3 linked regions of the Arabidopsis thaliana genome follow. The protein of the gene in region 1 interacts with the protein of each later gene in a pairwise test. Each region holds a gene or a part of one and is shown in the gene's direction. Other genes may lie near its edges.

Region 1 (7,394 bases):
ACATGAAGTTCTTGGAACCTTTTGGAGTTAGTTGAACAGGTTTGGTCTCGTTCTCTTTATCTCCACCAAAAGAGTTCCTCCTAGTCAAATCTAAAGAAACACAAACATCACAACACCTCAAATAATCAAAAATCATATCAAAGAATCTGAACTTAATCTACAATAATCAATGATTAGCCAAGAGAATGTACTATTCCGCGAAGACTAAGTTAAACCCTAATCTAAAAATCAAAACTTTGAGGAACTGAGCAAAACCCTAATCTAAAAATCAAAACTTTGAGGGATTGAGAAAGACTCTAACCTGAGGGGATGTTGACTTTTGAATTCGCCGGAAAAGGGTTGCCACCAAAACTCCGGCGTAACGGATCACCGGCTTCTGAGTTTCTAGGTTTAGGGTTTGGTCTGTTAGGGATTGGAGGAGAAAAGGAGGGATTTTTGTTGGTAGGAGAAGCCATGAGTGATTAAAAGTGTTCGGAATTGTTTGATTTGGTAACAAATCTGAGATCTTTTTGTTAGTTAAAGGAAACAATGAAACAAGAAATTTGAAGATCAAGAAAAAGCCCTGAAGATGGAGAGAGTTTGAGATAGAAATTGTAACGGCTACTTGTAAATTTTGGAAAGATAGATCTGAGGATTTAAATGACGGCTACTGTATATTTTCGACCGTTGGGATGAAATATTAAAAGGTTGTTTCAAAAATTGTAGGATCTAATCTGATTCATGAATACTACTAAAGCTTTTATTAGAGATATACGTAATTCATTTGATAATTAAATTGAATTAAAAAGGATTTGAGCCTGGAGGTGGACCAAGTAAAAAAAAGGGGTTATTAATTATTTTATACGTAATCATTTTTAGCTCTTTTTTTTTTTTAATAATGCAAAAGTTTGTTATTTTTTTATCATTTGGTTCACCACTCAAATATAGTATAAGGTTTTGGGAGAATAACCAGTGTTTGAAATAACAAGGTTAAAAGCGATAAATGGAGAAATATGATAATTAACGATAGTTTTATGATAGTTCAGAAGCAATGGTTATAAGATACAATGCTACATGCGAAAAGATGGTAAATCGAAAACACAACTATCAGGTTCGTCTCTACCCCATCGTAGATTAGACAAAGGCTATGTGTTAACTACTAAACTATAGACAATCTCACGAGTGAAAAATTTGTCTTTGTTGAAAGACATGATGATGGTAAAGAAGAATATGTAACCTCAAATTTTGCCGGTACAAGACACATTACAAATTGTTTGTACTTATGCCGAAAACTTGAAAATGTTCTTCATAAAAAAAATTTCTTCTAATAAGGACTAAGTTTTTTCAGCCATGTTCGAAATTGATACTTGTACTTCCAAATTAAAGATGTCGATATATAACTTGATTGGTGTCATCTGCCTTTCAAGTCATAGTAGTGATGCATCATAATATATGGAATAGACCATGCATCGTCAAAGACCTCACCGATAAGATGCGACTGAAGTCCAAAAATTGAAATATTTACTTTATCTTTATCTATAAATATTTTGAGATCGCTTTTAGAAAAATATAATTTACTTTGTTGTCGAATTAGTAGTTTCACTTTACTTCGCATTGATTATAACTCAAATATTATATTTTACAAAATAAAAACAAAATCATTTTCAATATTTTTAACTTTTTTATTTTCTAAATCTTGTAAAATTTTAAATATACATTCAATATTCTGGATATTTATATTCTATATCTAAAAACAATCTTTTTTTTTCGAAAAAAAATCTAAAAACAATCAAAAACAAATTGTGAAATAAATGAGCTACATTTTCGAAAAGATTATTTTTAATCCTACACTATACAATCCTTAGAAGACTATTCCACCAGAAATCACATAAATTCAGTGTGTCAAGTCTTTTTAATACCATTTATTAACATTTCCCTACTTGCTTCCTACTTCGACTTGACCCCCTAACCAAATGCCAGCCTTCTCTCCTTTAATTGTAACATCCAAAATCACATATTTACAGAGCATGTCGATCATAATGCTTGAGGTATGGATAATCGCGAATAAAGTCACATATGGGTACATGAGAGCATGAATATGGAGATACATGACTGGTTTTGTGCGCATCATATGATGTTAACTGTATGAAATATGTTATCTAATTGTATTGGTCAATTTGAAAGTGTTAATTGGTTGGTTATCGTGTTAACACTCGTTACTCATGTTTTCTTTTGTAATGGAAGTGAGGAACAATGTATGGTGCAGGTGAAACTTAAGTGATCGTCGACATATACATTGTTTCGATTATGATTTAGGAGATTCCAACTTTGATAAAATGGCATTTTAGCGTTATTAAATTATTGGTTAAATTTTATTGGAGTTTCAGTTCTTATTCAAGTTGCATTTAACCTTTTTTGAAGTATCACCTGTTTTCATACAAAACAAGCCATGGAGACGGATTTATATATTCTGATTATATAAAGAAATAATAGGAGATTATTTAAATAATATATATTTGGTTGATTTATTGAGATTTATCTTTTATGTGTTCATACTTCAGACGCATATATGACTCATATCTAAAAATAATTTCTACTTGCATTATCCGATTCTTTCTGTTGCTTTGTAATGGCAGAGCTATCCATAAAGCTCTGCTTTGATTTTCATTACTTTTTTCAGTTGTTACCTATACTCTATATACATATTTGCTTGATCAATCAATTTCACATTCAAAAATAATATAAAAAACTTCTACTTTCCTTCAAACAAAAATGTAGTTTAATAGCACACCACACATTCAAATGAACAAAATAAATATGATTGGGCCATTATAGAACCGCAGTCTTTAGAAGACTATTCCACACCAACAACACTCACATTAAAGTAAATGCAGACATATGCTAAATCCTTTTGATACCACATAAGATTTCGTTGGCAAATTTATTAACATTTCCTACTTGATTCGACTTGACCTCCTAACCAAATGCCAGCTTTATCTCCTTAAATTGTAACCTCCCCAAAATCACACATTTTTATTTTACCCTAAATTAAAACTGTATACCTTTTTGGCTGCTATTTATACACAATCACACAATTAAAAAGATCAAATAAACAAAATAATAATATTCCAAATAATAACAAAACAAAAACACTTTTGGTTTTTTCTTCTTCTTCTCTCTAAATCATAAAAACACAAGTTTTCGACAGATCAACTGTTTTCTTCATTACGTGTTCTTCAATGGCGTCACTTCACTGATTCTATTCCTATCAAACCCACTTACCCATTCCCTTTTATATGCACAAATTCTCATAAAGTTTTCAATTTTATTCCATTTTTCTCGGAAGCCATGGAAGCTGCTAATGAGCCTGTTAATGGCGGATCCGTACAGATCCGAACAGAGAACAACGAAAGACGAAAGCTTCCTAATTTCTTACAAAGCGTCAACATGAAATACGTCAAGCTAGGTTATCATTACCTCATTACTCATCTCTTCAAGCTCTGTTTGGTTCCATTAATGGCGGTTTTAGTCACAGAGATCTCTCGATTAACAACAGACGATCTTTACCAGATTTGGCTTCATCTCCAATACAATCTCGTTGCTTTCATCTTTCTCTCTGCTTTAGCTATCTTTGGCTCCACCGTTTACATCATGAGTCGTCCCAGATCTGTTTATCTCGTTGATTACTCTTGTTATCTTCCTCCGGAGAGTCTTCAGGTTAAGTATCAGAAGTTTATGGATCATTCTAAGTTGATTGAAGATTTCAATGAGTCATCTTTAGAGTTTCAGAGGAAGATTCTTGAACGTTCTGGTTTAGGAGAAGAGACTTATCTCCCTGAAGCTTTACATTGTATCCCTCCGAGGCCTACGATGATGGCGGCTCGTGAGGAATCTGAGCAGGTAATGTTTGGTGCTCTTGATAAGCTTTTCGAGAATACCAAGATTAACCCTAGGGATATTGGTGTGTTGGTTGTGAATTGTAGCTTGTTTAATCCTACACCTTCGTTGTCAGCTATGATTGTTAACAAGTATAAGCTTAGAGGGAATGTTAAGAGTTTTAACCTTGGTGGAATGGGGTGTAGTGCTGGTGTTATCTCTATCGATTTAGCTAAAGATATGTTGCAAGTTCATAGGAATACTTATGCTGTTGTGGTTAGTACTGAGAACATTACTCAGAATTGGTATTTTGGGAATAAGAAGGCTATGTTGATTCCGAATTGTTTGTTTCGTGTTGGTGGTTCGGCGATTTTGTTGTCGAACAAGGGGAAAGATCGTAGACGGTCTAAGTATAAGCTTGTTCATACCGTTAGGACTCATAAAGGAGCTGTTGAGAAGGCTTTCAACTGTGTTTACCAAGAGCAAGATGATAATGGGAAGACCGGGGTTTCGTTGTCGAAAGATCTTATGGCTATAGCTGGGGAAGCTCTTAAGGCGAATATCACTACTTTAGGTCCTTTGGTTCTTCCTATAAGTGAGCAGATTCTGTTTTTCATGACTTTGGTTACGAAGAAACTGTTTAACTCGAAGCTGAAGCCGTATATTCCGGATTTCAAGCTTGCGTTTGATCATTTCTGTATCCATGCTGGTGGTAGAGCTGTGATTGATGAGCTTGAGAAGAATCTGCAGCTTTCGCAGACTCATGTCGAGGCATCCAGAATGACACTGCACAGATTTGGAAACACTTCTTCGAGCTCGATTTGGTATGAACTGGCTTACATAGAGGCTAAAGGTAGGATGAAGAAAGGAAACCGGGTTTGGCAGATTGCTTTTGGAAGTGGGTTTAAGTGTAACAGTGCAGTTTGGGTGGCTCTAAACAATGTCAAGCCTTCGGTTAGTAGTCCGTGGGAACACTGCATCGACCGATATCCGGTTAAGCTCGACTTCTGATTTAATGAAAAACCATTTGTTTGGTTAGTCCTAGTCTTACTAGACTCTGCCTTGTTTATTTTTCTTCTTTTCTGGTTAAGCTCTTGTACTCTTAATGTGACGCTTCTTGATTATTACTCTCGCGTTTTATTCTATGGCATCTTTATCCATATTAAAGATTGGTTCGTTATTATAATCATCTCAAATCAAAATTGACAATGAAACAAAGTAATATTTTGAGAATAAATAAAAAAGCAAGGGTAAAAGCTCTTTGACAACTGTAGATTGATCTCGATCTCAAATGACATATCATTAGGACTTGATTTGTATCCAAGCAAAGGGAATCTTACAAAAGTAACCTGACAGGCGATTATTTGCTGGCAATCTTGAGATCCAAATGTGTGTTTTGGGTGTCTTTATCTCCAAGTTGGCGATTTTGATACGATCCAAACACAAAGTATCTTGGTTCATATCATCAACATTACTACGTAAGGTTCTCTACTATTTAGTCATAACGGGTTTAAGTCCAGGGGACAAGCCCATCCCGGTCCGCAATGGTGCGGGTATGGACATAAAATTTTAGGCTTGTTAAGAAGCAGGCCTCGCAAAGCCATGGCGGACTGCGGGGTTTAGTGGGGATTTTTCCACGGATTGGCTGGTAATATATATATTACTAATATATGTATATTTACATAATTGTGAAAATGTGATAATGTATAAAAACAGTTATATTTACAAAAATTATTTAAAATTTAAAGTTTTCATTTTTTTTCCTAAAAATATAGTTCAGTAAGAAATAAGGATCTCACTCCAAACATTATGACATAATGATTGGGGCTTTTGTTCAAATGGGTACATTTAAGCCCAATAACTAGTGAGAAGGCACATCCATTATGGGTTTATAAGGATGGGAACTTTATGGCTATTGAGATGACGTTTTTGCCCTCAATTTTGTTGTTGACAAACCAAAAACCACTTCATCGTCTTCTCCGTAGCGTGACAGAGTTCTTGCTTTTTCACGCACTTGCTTTATCAACACTGAATCCACACTCCATCAACATCAATAGTTTCATATTCATCAATATTTTTTTCCTTGCCTCCAACAATTCACAAACTTTTCTTCCACCAATCTAATCCAAAATCTAATGAATCAAATTAAACGAGTCTTGTTTAAAGGAATCTAAACCCTAAGTGATAGTGCCTAAGAAACCCTAAGTGATAGACACAAATCGGAACAATTAATCTCAAATTCATCAAAATCCTAAACTAAAGGGGAAATCACTTTTCATTGAAGTTTCGGAAAAGTAATGGTCTTCGGTTTGTAACATGGGAGATTAAAAGGGGAAATCATTTCAAAGGATGTTGGGTTTGGGCTTCAAACTGCAGTTTTAATTTAAGTTTCGGAATCGGATCGGAGATACATGAAACGCTTGGCCGGAGTTTCCAACGAGAAGAAATAAAATTATAGGATTAATAATTAGCAGAGATGGTGTTGTTCATCTAAGGAAATCACAAATCCAGAGCCGTGTAAGCTTTCCTCCGTCTCCTCTTTATTGATTTCAGAGCCATGTAAGCCCTCCGCCGTGTAAACGCCGGCGAGAAACGCAAGGTAAGAGAAGACATCACGGTCGACGAATTGAAGTAGATTGAACTGGTTTAGGTGATTAAGGACAATGATGTCTTTTTAACTGAATGAAAATGCCTATTCCTATTAACACATTGAGAAGGTCTGTTTGAAACAAAGGCATAGAGAAAAAAAGGAGTTTTTCATAATTGATCCCATAATGATTGGTTTAAACTAAAAGAAGTGACTACAAGGGTTCAACCGTAAGGGTGAACTTAAGAATTTTCCTTGTTTTCCCAACAATATTTTCTGGTTTGTAGGGTACATATAGTTTCAATCGACTCAAATATATAATTTTCGTGATGGTGATATAGCTATCAGAGTACTACTTTCCTTCAGTTTTATTTTATTGTAGAGAGTGCACACTGTGAAAACATAGTACATTGAAGTGGAATGTACATTGATATTTAGGGTACACAAATATATAATTGTATTGACATTGAGTTTTTATTAACTATTATGCCATGAATAGTGGCAAAACTTATATAATATGCTACATTTCTTTCATTATTTTTGCGGGTGCCACACAATATCATTGAAAACACCAAACTCACCTCAAACCAGTTCTCTCTTTTAAATAAAAGTATTGGCATTTTAAATTACGGAGTAGACATTGCATCTGTTTGGCTTTGAATCTCTGTGTCCATGCCGTACTATATTGGAGACCAGCTGAAATTTCCTCATTCTAGATCAGTTTTTGAACACCACGGAAAAAACCTCTCAAAGAATTTCAACTGAAGCTTTCCTCAAATAGCTCTAACGGGTTAGGTTTCCATTTCGCATACTACATGTCATTTTTTTTAATTTTTCCACTGACATTGATGTTAATAGAGGTCCATTGGCATTGGGTCGACATTATAGAGGGGTCCCATTACCCATTAAAAGGTTTAACTAGCCAAAATGTGATATTCTCACATTTCTCAAA
Region 2 (7,478 bases), on another chromosome or scaffold:
GACCACCTTGTAAAATTGGAAACTATCATTATTTTTATTTAGTTGATCTTCATGGATCTGAATGATTGCATAGTAATATTTGGGCATCTAACTCAAAATGAATGAATTAACTCTACTCATAAACATTGTGGACTTGAGCCAAACATTGATGTATGCAGGCCTTGTCATTACCATGGCTCCCCTTAGGGAAGTTGTAATTTTTTTGGTGGGGAAATCTGAGGGGGTGCATTTATGTTTCTCGTAATTTCTCTTCTTTTTTTATTGCACTCTGTAATTATTTGCATTCCGTTTTTTGCAGGTCACACGGGTTGATGCAACAATTCCCTTTTGTATATAAATTGGTTCCAGCTGTTGCTCTTCTTGTTTTCTCCCTGTGGGGTCTAGTGCCTTTTGCTCGCCAAGGAAGAAACATACTACTCAATGTAGGTGCAGCCATTTCAAGTTTATATGCACTTTTTTTTTGTTTACTGCTTTCATTTCTGTGTTGTCTCAGTTCAAATCAATGTGGTATCTTTTCTATATGAGATTCTGAATCTTTACCTTTGAATCATTGTAGAAGAATGATAACGGTTGGAAGAAGAGTGGTACGTACCATGTTATGACTTCATATGTTCAACCTCTGTTACTATGGTTAGGAGCTCTATTCATCTGCAGGTATATCTATCAAGTAGTTCCTCGGGACTTTCTGAGATTTAATTGTTGAGATATTTTGGTGGTATCCTCATCTGAAGTGCTTGGTTGAGATAATTGATTGCTGGTGACTATTCCTTATATAGGGCATTAGATCCTGTTGTCCTTCCTACAGAAGCTAGCAAAATTGTGAAGGATCGACTGTTGAATTTTGTGAGGTCATTGTCAACGGTACTTGCATTTGCTTACTGCTTATCCAGGTAAGAGTATTGTCTAATTTAAATACAAGACTTCGTCTTCATCTTATGTTTCTGTATTTTAGTGGCTTCTATCACGTGAAATTGCTATGTGGCCATCTCATGACTTCTGATTCTTTGATGTTCCCATGCAGTCTTATCCAACAAACACAAAAGCTATTCTCAGAAACGAGTAATCCGAGCGATACAAGAAATGTATGTAAAGTGACACTCATAAAAAGTGCTTTAATAATACATTTTGTAGAGTTATTATTCTTAGGATGTTTGGTCTATTTTGCATATCTGTCTACGCAAGATCAGAAATCTCTATCAACAATATAATTGGCTTCTCAATTTGTTTTGCTAATTTGCCCCTGGAATGGTACAGATGGGATTTCAATTTGCTGGGAAAGCATTGTATTCTGCTGTATGGGTTGCTGCTGTATCACTTTTCATGGAGTTGCTGGGTTTCTCTACACAAAAATGGCTCACTGCTGGAGGTCTTGGGACAGTTTTGATTACTCTTGCTGGCCGAGAGGTGAAACCTAATTCTCATTTTAATTACTGGTTTCTTCGGAATATCCACTGTTAGCTTTAGACGTTCCTTTTCCTGTTTTATGCTAAAGATATTTCATAAAAACTGAGTTTTTTTTTGTTTTTTGGTTCCAGATTTTGACAAACTTTCTTTCAAGTGTTATGATTCATGCAACCCGGCCATTTGTTTTGAATGAGTGGATTCAAACAAAGATAGAAGGTTATGAAGTGTCTGGTACTGTGGAGGTTAGAATCTCTGAGCTTAGATGATGTGAATTTTTTCCTAGCTTCGGTGCACGTCATTGCCATACCTGAACGTTTCCTTAAAATTAGCTAGCTATCTTTCTGAATTGCTTGTTGCAATGCATTTACAGCATGTTGGTTGGTGGTCACCAACAATCATAAGAGGTGAAGACCGCGAGGCAATTCACATCCCAAACCATAAGTTCACAGTTAATGTCGTGAGAAACCTTACTCAGAAAACTCATTGGCGTATTAAAACTCACCTAGCAATCAGTCACTTGGATGTCAACAAAATAAATGTGAGTTTTCTAATTCCCATATGGTCGTTAACTCTTTATACAAGTTAAGGTCCAATCATGGAGTTTTTTTAGCTGATCCTTGTTTGGAACTTCCTCAAACAGAATATTGTAGCTGACATGCGGAAAGTGTTGGCCAAGAATCCTATGGTTGAGCAGCAGAGGTTACATAGAAGGGTATTCTTGGAGAATGTCATTCCAGAAAATCAGGCCCTCTCGGTTAGACTTCAATACCTATCTCTTCTTTTGCACCCATCTTCAGATATTTCAGGCAGCTTTGGAAGGTCTGGTTCTTACATCTGGTTCTCGTTTTTACAGATACTGATCTCTTGCTTTGTGAAGACGTCTCATCACGAAGAATATTTGGGTGTAAAGGTAATTTTTCAGTCTTTTATCTTATCATCTACTTAAAGTTCACAAGAACTATTGACTTATTTGCTTTCGTTTTCTTGTATTGGTGAAACAGGAAGCTATATTGTTGGACCTTCTTAGAGTCATAAGCCACCACCGAGCTCGTCTAGCTACACCAATCCGTACAATCCGTAAGATGTACACAGAGACTGACGTGGAAAACACACCATTTGGGGAATCGATGTACGGAGGTGTTACTTCTCGGCGGCCTTTGATGCTAATTGAACCCGCTTACAAAATCAATGGAGAAGACAAATCAAAATCTCAAAACCGTGCAGCAAAACCAACCGCAGAGCAAGAAAACAAGGGCTCGAATCCAAAGTCAAAAGAAACGTCTTCTCCTGATCTAAAGGCGAATGTGAAAGTTGGAGAATCCCCTGTTTCTGATACCAACAAAGTACCTGAAGAAACAGTAGCAAAGCCAGTAATCAAAGCGGTCTCAAAACCGCCCACCCCAAAGGATACAGAAACATCAGGAACTGAGAAACCAAAGGCCAAGAGAAGTGGTGGCACAATAAAATCAACAAAGACAGATGAAACAGATAGTTCAACATCATCAGCGTCTAGATCAACTTTAGAAGAGAATATAGTACTGGGTGTTGCACTAGAAGGCTCAAAGAGAACACTTCCAATCGAAGAAGAGATACATTCTCCTCCCATGGAAACAGATGCTAAAGAACTCACGGGAGCTCGCAGATCCGGTGGAAATGGACCATTGGTGGCTGATAAGGAACAGAAAGATAGCCAATCACAACCAAACTCAGGTGCTTCAACCGAGCCGTGAGATGAAATTCAATGAGTTAGCTATTTTTTTATAACACTCTTTGATGTAATATACGATTGAAATTAATTGAATTTACCCTCCCAAAATTCTGGAAGTTGGGGGTTGATAATGTCGTATATTAAATATAGGGGTGGTTTATTGATAGTTGGGTGAAAGTATGGGTTTAAATCATAAATATCAGAAGAAGACGGTTGAGAAGTAGCTTACCTGTCTCTAGTCATGATGTAATTCATAAATGCTCCTCTCCTCCGATCTCTCCGCCATAAAATCTACTCTTTCTTCTTCTGGGTGTTCAAAGAATTAGTCGTTCTCGCGTATTCACTTTCCATGGCGGGCTTTCTCTCCGTTGTCCGGCGCGTGTACCTCACTCTCTACAATTGGATCGTCTTTGCTGGATGGCAAGTCGAGCTCGACTCTCTTTCTTCTTTTGTCTAGTGGAGTTTTTATTTTTCTCTCGGATTGATTTTTGAATTTTGGTGACATTTGGGGTATTAGGGCTCAGGTTTTGTACTTAGCGATAACGACGTTGAAGGAAACGGGTTATGAGAATGTCTATGACGCCATTGAGAAGCCTCTCCAGCTTGCTCAGACTGCCGCCGTTCTCGAGGTCCGTCTCTCGTGACACAATTCGTGTTTTATTTCTTCTTGTTTTGTTGCATTTCCCGGGTAATTAGAGAAGAAGAAGAATGATTTGGTTCACACTTGTTGCAACTGAGTATTTGTTTTTTTTTTCTTTCCTCTGATTAAAATCTGGATTTTGGAATTTTCCGGGTGTGGAGCAGATTCTTCATGGATTAGTAGGTGAGTGATCTGATCCATTAGACTAATTTCGAACTTGCACTACACCATTTTGATTAAACTCTTTTTAAGATCATTGACTGAGTTGTGTTCTGCTGTGTTGCTAAACTCGAATAGGTTTGGTCAGATCTCCTGTTTCTGCAACTCTGCCACAGATAGGTTCAAGGCTATTTCTCACTTGGGGCATCCTATACAGTTTTCCAGAGGTTAACTTAGAAAGTTACCAGCATTACTAGTTCATTATTTCTCTTTGATTGTTGCAAGTTTCATCATTTGATTGTTGAACTTTGTTTCATTTAATTTCAGGTCCGATCTCATTTTCTTGTTACGTCGCTGGTCATAAGCTGGTCTATCACAGAGGTGATTATATCTAGTCTCTGTGTTGATTTTGGTAGCCATTGATATCGCTCTTACTAGGAGACATTTATTAGATTCGTTGTATGCCATAAATCTGAAATGTCTAAAACATTGCTTCTCTTACTGATGCTTTGAAAGTTTCCTATCACAACATGGATTGTTGAAGTACAGAACAAGAGATTAGCTGTTAATATTTCGAACAGTCAAGATTTGACTTAAGTATGACTCCTTAATTACTCCATTTTGGTTGAAGTCTTATCCTAGTAGCGTCCTTTTAGGATAACGTGCTTCAGTTCATATGTTTGATGAATAACTCGCTCTGAGCGCAGATTATTCGCTACTCATTCTTCGGCTTTAAGGAAGCTCTAGGCTTTGCACCTTCATGGCACTTGTGGCTCAGGTATGCCATTCATGTGCAATATAATAATAGACATTGAAAAACAGATTAATTTGCAACTCTAATCTCATTTATTTCTCTCTCGTTAATCTGTTCAGATACAGCAGCTTTTTATTGCTATACCCTACCGGTATCACCAGCGAAGTTGGTCTTATCTACCTTGCCTTACCACACATCAAGGTAACACAACTGGCTCATGTCAATTCCTTAAACAGAGAACAATTCTTTCCTTTACAATATCATTTCTTTACGGGTTGTTACACCCTTTTGTGTATTAGAATTTAGAGCTCTTAGAGTAGACATGAACTGTTAAAGCCATTTCCCTCAGACTCTAGTAGACAGGATCTGTTTGTTGACTTTCAAGACGTCACTGTAAAATAATCCATATATAGACTTAACTTTAATGCCATCTATAAAGTTTCAGATTTTCTGTTCCACTGGTATCAGGGGAGAGTATATATATGGTTGATTCCTGAATGGTCCCTTTGCTCTTTTTTTTTCTTTTTCTTTTGTCTGCAGACATCGGAGATGTACAGCGTTAGGATGCCTAACATATTGAACTTCTCATTTGACTTCTTCTATGCAACGATACTCGTCCTTGCAATCTATGTCCCAGGCACAAACTCAGTCAACCTTTCTTATAACATATCCCATACATCTGTTCAATTCTGATCTGCGAGACTAAATTTGTATTTGGCTGTTGCAGGTAGCCCACACATGTACAGGTACATGCTTGGTCAGCGAAAGAGAGCTCTCTCCAAATCCAAGAGGGAATAAAAGAAAAGATTTAGAAAGAGACGAAAAAGCTCATCAACTGTTTTCTCCTCTTGTCTTGTTCGTTCATGTACTACTAGTCTACTACTACAACTTGTCTTTTGTTTAGCTTGTTTGAGCTTTTACTTCCTCGGCGATTACTTGAACTTACATGCAGCAGGATACTATTAAGTGTAATGTGGTTTCTAAATTAATAAGAAAATCATTGGTTCCTTCTCAGTAGAAATGAAAAAGTTGATTTAAGCTAAAATTTCCCAAAAAGTCGAAATGGATTCTTAATAATATTTATGAAATTGAAAAAAAATCAAGAAAATTGTGAAATTATTGGGTCATATCGTCTTATCATGGTTTAAATATTTAAATGCTTTTGAGATGATCACGAGTCAAATTTACTTTGCCCAAAATAACTATCAAAACTTGTTTTTTTGTGATATATAAAAGTCAACGTAGTTCGTTAGTGAGAGATTTATCATGGAACACGATAAGGCGTCGTGAAGTAACGCAGATCACAAAATATTTGTGTCTGAAAAGGCATCGGCGTTGTCTATTTTCTTAAATATAAAAATTGAAATAAATATAAACGTCGTCGTTTGGAATCAATCAAAAGGACCTTCTCCGCCTTTCATTATTTTGTATACCAAACCGAGGGAAAAATCCACAGAGATGAACCAAAAATAAAAACAAAAATCTTTGATTATTTCTACAAAAATAAAATTCGAAAACTTTTGAATTCTTTCATTTGGCTTTCGAAGCTGCTGCTTCAATTCTTGCTGCTTTGATTTGATTTTTTTTTTGGATGAAATGGCCGATCAGAGAAGTAAAACCAATAGATGGAACTGGGAGGTGAGTGGGTTCGAACCGAGGAAGTCTTCTTCCAATGCATCGTTTGCGGAGAGTACTGGTCACCGTACGACTGGTCCTCTGCTTCGCCGGAACTCGATTTCGACTCCCTCGCTTCCGCCTAAGCAAGCAATTGCATCTAAGGTTAACGGATTAAAGGAGAAAGTTAAGGTGATAAATTTCACTTCCTTTTTCACTTCACAGAGTATACTTGGCTTTTGGTTTTGAGCTGAATTAATTTTATAAAAGGCTGCTTTTAGTTTCTTAAGTCTAGCTTGTGGGATTTGATGGAAGTTTTTAGTGTTGAAGCCATTACTTATCAAGAAAAAAAATTGTGACTTGGTTGAACAGCTTGCGAAAGAAGATTACTTGGAGTTGAGACAAGAAGCTACTGATCTTCAGGAGTATTCTAATGCTAAGCTTGACAGGGTTACACGTTACTTAGGTGTTTTGGCTGAGAAAAGTCGTAAATTGGGTAAGTTTTGTGTTTCACTAGTCGTAAATTTGAAGTCTATGTAAGTTGTGTGCAAGCATCGAGAAAAACTGAGTATTCATTACATTTGGTGCATTTGTGACCACTGGAGAAGTTAACAACACTAGAATTGGTTGGCATTTTCCCAAAATTGAAACCTTTATTGGAAACTTCATAAATCCATCTACTGTATCTAGCTCTCGTGGTTGCGTTTATTTATCTGTTTTGTGGTGGAAATTTGGTAGTGTGTTGTATTGATTTATCTACGTAAACCACCACAGATCAGTTTGTCCTTGAGACTGAGGCTAGGATATCTCCACTTATCAATGAGAAGAAAAGACTGTTCAATGACTTGTTAACGGCCAAAGGTACACAGCTTCCATAACCAGTATCATCGATCTTTCTATATCGATAATCTTTCTTTGGTATAGGTTCACTGATGTATGATAGTTCTCTGCTACCTGTTGGTTAATGTGGATTTGTTTTTCGTACTTCAGGGAACATAAAGGTATTTTGCCGTGCAAGGCCATTGTTTGAGGATGAAGGTCCCTCTGTTATAGAGTTCCCTGGGGATTGCACCATATGTGTAAACACTAGTGATGATACTCTGTCCAATCCCAAGAAGGACTTTGAATTTGACCGAGTTTACGGACCTCATGTTGGACAAGGTGAGTACCATAGTTCATTGTAAAATGTAGTCTCTCCT
Region 3 (7,522 bases), on another chromosome or scaffold:
AACCCTAGGCACCTCCTTTCAATTTTTAATTAAAAGGTTAAAAAACAACGAGAGAAGCGAATAATTGAATTAATTAAAAAAATTAAAAAGATTTTGAGTGAATAAAGAAACAAATAAAGGTGAATTGGTAGTGGGGTGGTCTTTGGTGGAGTTGTCACAATCGAGTGTACCTTTGTTTTCCTCGGTATGACCCAAGTAAAGTTTCGTTTTGCATAGTATTATAGTTATAATTATCGCCATTGTGGCTTTTGTCATGAAAAAATAAATTACCTTTGCATGGCGAGATTTTTTATCCCGAAAGTTCAGTCTAAGAATGATGTAAAATTCCTCTGTTAAGAAAAAAATGCCTTTAACAAAATAAAGAATTCGATGTTGAAGAAGAAGAATATATATATTTTGGTGCTAATTTGCAGCACAAGATATAAAAATTAGAAAGTATAAGCCAAAAAATCAAATCATGATTCGACAAGGTTGTTTTTAATTCTTTCGTGATTCTTGATGTTATACCCCTAATATAACTTACCGATAACATTGAATTAGTGAAAAATATTTCGAATTATGATCACCAGTCTCTATATTATATTTGATGATTTTATGGTTACGAATGTGAGGGGTACGTAAGATTAGTAAAGACGGACATGTTGTAGGAAGGTGTCCCAGTCCGCGATTTCTAAAAGAAAGATTTGTGGTCCAAACGTAAAATTTAATCAGACCTTCTTTTTAATGGACCTCACTATGTCGACACACAACATCAAACATATCCCTAACTATATAGTTCATAATCAAGATGTTTTTTACCAGAAAAATATAACATCAAACATGTCTCTCTCTAATCATTATATTTATAAGTTTTTCGTATCAGACTAAGAAAGTATATATCAACCTGAGACAAAATGATCCGGTAAGAAGAACTTCAATTTAGATGACAAAACTTCCAATTAATTTGAATTACTTAGAAAGGGATGAAGTTGAGACACAAAGAAAGAATATAATAGATATATTGCCTTAGCTTGTAATTCACAGTTTAGTTGTTTCAAAGAGCAATATCATTGGAATTTCGTAGTAACCAATATATATTGTGGTTATATATTTGTGGGGAGTGTGTATATGTATTTGATATGTTGATATTTTTCTTCAAAAGACAGATGATAGAGCTAAAACGATTTTTTGTCGATATGTTGCGCTTCGAAGTAGCTGAACCTGAGTGATAATGTCTTCATCTATTGGACAAGTAGGGAAGAAGCTAGCTCGCCGTATGCAAATACATAAAGTTCCATGTTTCACTTCTTCTAGGGGTGAATAGACGAGGACACACGATACAGTTTGTCATGTTAATCTTTCAAGCTCAAAAAATATAAAAATTGTATGAAAATCTGATACGGTAAATCTATATATTCTTTTGCATGTTTTTAAAGGAGCACTTATCTTTATTTGTTATAGAAATTTATTATTTAAAAGAAATTCGTCTTTATAGAAATGTGCATGTGTTTTTTTTATTAGTAACACATTTTCATGCAACAGGAATCTTCGCTTATCTGTAGTGTACATCTCATGAGCCCATATTCATAGTTGTAAAGCAACACCTTCTCTGCAGCTTTTTCTTTCCTATTGTTTTTTGTATCCATAGTTCACATCTACACACTATATAAGGCTATTACAAACAATGATACAATATATGTTCTCATATAATTTGATCTTAATTTTCAAGATATTTAAGGTGGGAAAATATCGAGATAGTATACAATGGAAATCGTTACCACGTGCATGCCAATCTTTAGTAGAAGAAGATTCCTAGATTCCAACAAGAACATGCGCATTTTTTCACGAAAGGCTGGAAAGTTTAATATATAATGGTCGAAAAAATAGGCATAATCTATTTAAGTACTAGCTTAAGTGTTTTACGCTAGATCTGGTGTTGACACTTGTACACCTGGTTTTAAAGTTGCAGAGAAAACTAGATTAATGCTCAAATTGTAGTAAGTAGATTGGATAATTTACACTCGGAAAAAACAAGTTTTTTCAGAAGAATTAGACTGTTGCTCACTTGAGAAAAATCTAGCTAGCTTTGTTAATTGAGGATAGTTAGTTATAGTATTTGAATGACATTAAGGTGTTTGAATATCGCATGAATTGTCGCCTTGGTATTTGGGCAATTACCGGTCATTATTTTGATCTTTGTGATGTCAACTAATCGATCCCAACCATATATATCATAAACTACTGTCTCTTAATTGATCCATTGTGTTTTTAATTTTATCATTACTTTTTTTAACTAGTTGAGAGAATGATTATCTAACCCCTTTCATATTCAGAAAACTTAGGTTTTGAGTTTTTGCTTTATTTGCTGCTCTCTTGAATTAATAGAGCTCTCGTATGCGATTGACTTTGGGTGATTTTTTTTTGTTGGAAAAGCAAATTTCATTGACCAATATAACTAAACTAACACACTACTTCCATGTGGTTAAGGGCCGGGATCATTTATTATTTGCATCTTTTATACGACAATGACAAGGATTCGTTCTCATTACTCCATCCCATTTTGTGGTATGTAAAATCCTAACTTTTTTACTGCATTGATACAACATTTTATTTTAGCATTAGATCAATACGATGGACATATGTCATCAAGTGAGGGGGTAGAAGTTTGCAACTAATGTTTTTGTGCTCATGAATCAATCTCTTCTAGGTAACATTATTTCACTCTTTTCTATAGCGAATACTGCAATGCTTTTACGTTTTAACTAAACATGACTAAACCAAATACCAAAAAAAAAACGAGTAACACTTTGGTGGTTCCTATCTAAGTTGACCGGATCACTCGATTTGATAAAAAAAATTATAGTAAAAGTTTTTGTTTTTGAATACAAATTATATATTTGACTAAAATTCGAAACTTAACCGAAACTAAAACCTTAGCAGATAATCTATAGTATAGTAGATTCATAAACCGAAAAAACAAAAATCTAAACCTAAACTGAGTAATTACTAATGGTGGATCCTTAAAACAAAGCCATAATTTGCAATTGCAACAAATGTTTTTGTTTGGAGTAAAAACCAAAAAAAAAATGATGGGGAGCAACTAAAAATGTAAAATGGTCCCAATCTAATCGCATAAGTTGGGAAGATAGTTAGTAGTTCTCCTACTCCCAACTACATCCTCTTCAATGCTCAATCTCGTCTTCTTCTTCCTCTCTATTTAATTTCCCTTGTCTCTCTATCTCTCTCAATTTCCTCATCTGGGTCTTCCTCGTTTGCTCCGCTTAAGCACCATGAAGGTCACCGTCGTCTCCCGCAGCGGCAGAGAAGTCCTCAAAGCTCCCCTTGACCTCCCCGATTCGGTACTTTCTCGTTTCTTATGATACTCTCTTCTCCGATCTGCTTCTTCTTCTGATTCGTGGGTTTGTTTCCAAAATGTGATTGAAGGTTTTTGTTCTTTAGTTTGGTCCCTCAATGTAGGGAAAGTTGCATGCTTTATGATTTTTGGGTTGTTGATTTCGATTTCGTGTGTTTTGTGCTTCGCAGGCGACTGTTGCTGATCTGCAAGAAGCGTTTCATAAGAGAGGTAAAGTTTCCAAAGTTTTCATTTTTACTTGAAATTTGACTTGTCGAATGTTGGTATAGATCTCACCTGAGTGTGTAAGCTTAAGCTAGTGTTTATGTGTTTGAGTTCTCCTTATACCATTTGATGCTTATGGGGTTATATAATCAAGATCTGTGTGGAAGCTTAAGGAGTATTTAGATTTGATAATGTTTTCTGCTGATAAGGATCACTTAAGCTTCTAAACACAGTTTTGGATTTGAATTAATCATCACAACCTTTTGTCATTTATGGATCAGTCCCTTTTTAGCTTTAATAAAGGTTCACTTTAGATTGTCCATCAATGGCAATTATCTGAAATCATCTTACTATACAGTACAATGTATATTCTGTATGTATTATATTTATCTCGTTCATTCAAATCTTAGTTTGATTTTCTCTCAGTAGGTATTAAACTGTTTGATTTGGGTTTTGTTGTTTCAACAGCTAAGAAGTTTTACCCGTCGAGGCAAAGACTGACTCTTCCCGTGACTCCTGGATCGAAGGACAAACCTGTTGTCCTCAATAGCAAGAAATCACTGAAGGAGTACTGTGATGGAAACAACAACTCCTTAACTGTAGTCTTCAAAGACCTGGGGGCACAAGTTTCCTACCGCACACTCTTCTTCTTCGAGTATCTTGGCCCTCTCCTTATCTACCCTGTCTTTTACTACTTCCCTGTTTACAAGTTTCTTGGTTATGGAGAGGACTGTGTGATCCATCCGGTCCAGACGTACGCTATGTACTACTGGTGCTTTCACTACTTCAAACGGATCTTAGAAACGTTTTTCGTACATCGGTTCAGCCACGCAACCTCCCCAATCGGGAATGTGTTCAGGAACTGTGCTTATTACTGGAGCTTTGGTGCTTACATTGCTTATTACGTCAACCATCCCTTGTACACTCCAGTTAGTGACCTTCAGATGAAGATTGGTTTCGGGTTTGGTTTGGTTTGCCAAGTCGCAAACTTTTACTGTCACATATTGCTGAAGAATCTGAGGGACCCCAGTGGGGCTGGAGGCTACCAGATTCCACGCGGTTTCCTCTTCAACATTGTTACATGTGCCAATTACACTACCGAGATTTACCAATGGCTAGGATTCAACATCGCTACTCAGACCATTGCAGGATATGTTTTCCTCGCTGTTGCTGCTCTAATCATGACTAATTGGGCTCTTGGAAAGCACAGCCGTCTGAGAAAGGTAAACATAGCGGTCTCACGATATGATTTTAGCGGAACTGAAAATTCTCAAATAATGTTCTTATTGTGGATTGTTTGATATTGGTATTGCAGATATTTGATGGAAAAGATGGAAAGCCAAAGTATCCAAGAAGATGGGTGATACTTCCTCCATTCCTTTAGAAGCCATTGTTGCTTATCAGTAAAAGCTCTTAATAAAGCTGAAAATGAGACTTTCTTTGGGTTCTCTGTATCGTTTCCTTTTTTGTTCGGTCTATGTATTGGTTATAACATGTTTATTCCTTTTGTTTCAATATGTTTTGATTTTTGAAGTTAGAGAGATTTAGAAATGTACTTGTGTAGTTGTTTCTCACGCAAACCAATTCCTCTTTATGTATCGCATACATGAGTCAATAATAAATATGATTACTAGTAACATAAATCAGTCTATGCGGCATTCTATAATGACAATTGCAATGAGTTTAGACGTCGATGAAACATACAAGTTGTATAAATTAAAAATAACATTCATAAGATACACATTTTTGTTTGTCCCATAAAAGAATATGTCAATAGATCAAATCAAACGATAAAATGTTATGCTAAACAAAATTACCAGAAGGAAAAAGAAGCAAATGAAGCTTTCATAGAAAGACCACAAGAACCGGGAGAGAGTAATCAAGCTGATGAATTTTTTCCACACAGTTGGTCAGAGAGTTCATCTCTCAAGACCGATGAAGCCTCATCGGCAAGCTTGCAGCTTCGTTGTCTGTAGTTCATGTCATGTTGCTGAGACAAAGGTTGGTCATCCAAAGTTTGATCCTCCATATCGATAATAATGTTGTGCAGCAAGCAACAGACAAAGATTATCCTTGGTAACCGGTTTCTATCAGGCATCCACATTACCCCGTTTATTATCCTCCACCTGTCTTTAAGCTTCGATAGTGCCATCTGCGCGGCTTTTGTTGCCTCGGAGTGTCTTTTGTTGAACTCGGTTTGAGGAAGCGACGTGGGTTTGCCTTGGTATGGAGTGAGAAGCCATGGAAGAAGAGGAAAACCTGAATCACCTACTATGTATTCTCTTAGCTCGGTTCTTTCTGAGAGCGGTAACTTTTCCCCGTTCAGTCTCTTCCCTTTCTCAACTAGTTTGTAGAATCCTGAGTTCTTGAGGACAACATCATCATTTAAACTCCCAGGCCAACCAGCTATTACATCGAGGAATCTCATGTCCGGGTCTACTACGGCCTGCAAAGTCATGCTGAAGTTCTTTTCTCCGTCCAACCAAACTTTGTTTGACGGTTCCACAGCAGGAAGGTTCATAACAATATGTGTAATGTCGATAGCGCCACAGCAGTTAGGAAGACCTGAGATTTTCTCAAACTTTGATTTTATTTCATCGAGTTTCGAAGGCCATGAGAGATGGTGTATTGCTCTCTCTTCCATTGATTCAACAAAGCGCCAAGTGATTTGGGAGACTGTTGACTGGTTCATCCCAAAGGTCTCTCCAATGACAGAGAGAGATTCACCAGAGCCAAGCCTCCTAAGCGCCACAGCTACACGGTCATTGAGAGATAAAGGGTTCCCATTTGAGTCGCTGAAATTTGCAGGCTTTGCTGTGAAATCGGCTTTCACAAGAGAGCAAATGTAGTCAAATGTCTTCCTTGATATTTTGAAAACTGACTCAAATGTCTTTGGATCCGTTGACCCTCCTGAAAAAGGAGATGAAAAGAAAAAACATGACATTCTCATAGTAACTACAAAATCAACAATGTATCCAAGATCAAGCTTACTGCTCTTTAGTACAAAGACACATTCATTGTAATGAAGTCAGTGTAAAAGAACCATGCAGATCCATAACTGTTTAAATCACATTATATATCAGCTCATACAACATTGGACTAGCTTAAATCCAACACTCGGAAAGCTAAAAGAAGAGTGCAAAAGCAGAAGAGCTAATGACCTATCAATTGATTATCATCGACCTACAAGCGCATTTACACAGGGAGAGACAACGGGAAGAGGGGCAAAAAATGTCTTATCATAATCAGAACATCACTGAAAGAGACATGGAAAACATCTGGCTGACTCTTCACAAAGAGAGTTAATAATGTCATCATCAGAAAGCAATGAGAACTTTTACAAAACAAAATTAACTTGCCAAATTGGAAAAAGAAACTAAGACTAGTCAAAGTCTGCTAATCCCAAATTGGTTCTAAAGAATCATATCATTTAAACCAAAATCGAAAACAGGAAAAAAAAAACATGCTCAAAGTTATCTAGATGAGTCTAAATGGCTCGAAACTGAGCCCCTAGAGCCTTAAGAACAACTTCATCTACACAAAAACCACTTCCATGGATCCATATAGCTCACTTAAGTTAGCCACGACACAACTAGAATCGAATAAGAACTCACAAACCCCCAAAACTACGAATCAATAGATCGAAACAATACTCCAATGTACAGAGTAAGATTAAAGGACATCTCTTGTCTACATTACTAAATTCAATCTGAAACTTTTTCACCTAGAAAACCCAAATAAAAATCAACATTCAGAATTGCAAGTTCCATGAAACAGAATCAACAATTAGATTCAAAAAACAAAAACTCTGCCAATGCAAAAATCACCACCAACAAGAAAGGTAGGAAAAAAAAAGAGATACCATAAATACGGCGAGAGAATCCATCCCACCAATCCAAAGACTGAGATGATGAGTCGTCGTCGTCGTCGTTGTTATTAAGAGCAGCGGCGGCGGATGCGGAAGTA

The links.
Region 2: the proteins of KCS9 (region 1) and PAS2 interact in a two-hybrid assay, tested with the Arabidopsis thaliana proteins (one study listed by BioGRID).
Region 3: the proteins of KCS9 (region 1) and CER10 interact in a two-hybrid assay, tested with the Arabidopsis thaliana proteins (one study listed by BioGRID).

What each region holds. Positions count from the first base shown.
Region 1 is NC_003071.7:7,047,859-7,055,252, forward strand, and holds KCS9 (3-ketoacyl-CoA synthase 9), read left to right. Parts: upstream 1-2,940; 5' UTR 2,941-3,327; coding exon 3,328-4,866; 3' UTR 4,867-5,093; downstream 5,094-7,394. Other genes in the region: AT2G16270 (uncharacterized protein), read right to left, coding at 1-90, 302-455. UniProt on the Arabidopsis thaliana protein: Involved in the elongation of C22 to C24 fatty acids, which are precursors for the biosynthesis of cuticular waxes, aliphatic suberins, and membrane lipids, including sphingolipids and phospholipids.
Region 2 is NC_003076.8:3,296,032-3,303,509, reverse strand, and holds PAS2 (Protein-tyrosine phosphatase-like, PTPLA), read left to right. Parts: upstream 1-3,358; 5' UTR 3,359-3,461; coding exon 3,462-3,532; intron 3,533-3,629; coding exon 3,630-3,741; intron 3,742-3,916; coding exon 3,917-3,935; intron 3,936-4,049; coding exon 4,050-4,138; intron 4,139-4,238; coding exon 4,239-4,292; intron 4,293-4,427; coding exon 4,428-4,454; intron 4,455-4,618; coding exon 4,619-4,689; intron 4,690-4,784; coding exon 4,785-4,866; intron 4,867-5,205; coding exon 5,206-5,302; intron 5,303-5,392; coding exon 5,393-5,463; 3' UTR 5,464-5,704; downstream 5,705-7,478. Other genes in the region: MSL2 (MSCS-like 2), read left to right, coding at 299-422, 557-654, 777-890, 1,022-1,082, 1,255-1,404, 1,536-1,646, 1,775-1,942, 2,045-2,158 and 2 more; KAC1 (kinesin like protein for actin based chloroplast movement 1), read left to right, coding at 6,262-6,471, 6,652-6,775, 7,054-7,140, 7,270-7,440. UniProt on the Arabidopsis thaliana protein: Catalyzes the third of the four reactions of the long-chain fatty acids elongation cycle. This endoplasmic reticulum-bound enzymatic process, allows the addition of two carbons to the chain of long- and very long-chain fatty acids/VLCFAs per cycle.
Region 3 is NC_003074.8:20,518,604-20,526,125, reverse strand, and holds CER10 (3-oxo-5-alpha-steroid 4-dehydrogenase family protein), read left to right. Parts: upstream 1-3,027; 5' UTR 3,028-3,269; coding exon 3,270-3,338; intron 3,339-3,522; coding exon 3,523-3,562; intron 3,563-4,024; coding exon 4,025-4,779; intron 4,780-4,871; coding exon 4,872-4,940; 3' UTR 4,941-5,196; downstream 5,197-7,522. Other genes in the region: AT3G55350 (PIF / Ping-Pong family of plant transposase), read right to left, coding at 5,436-6,466, 7,419-7,522.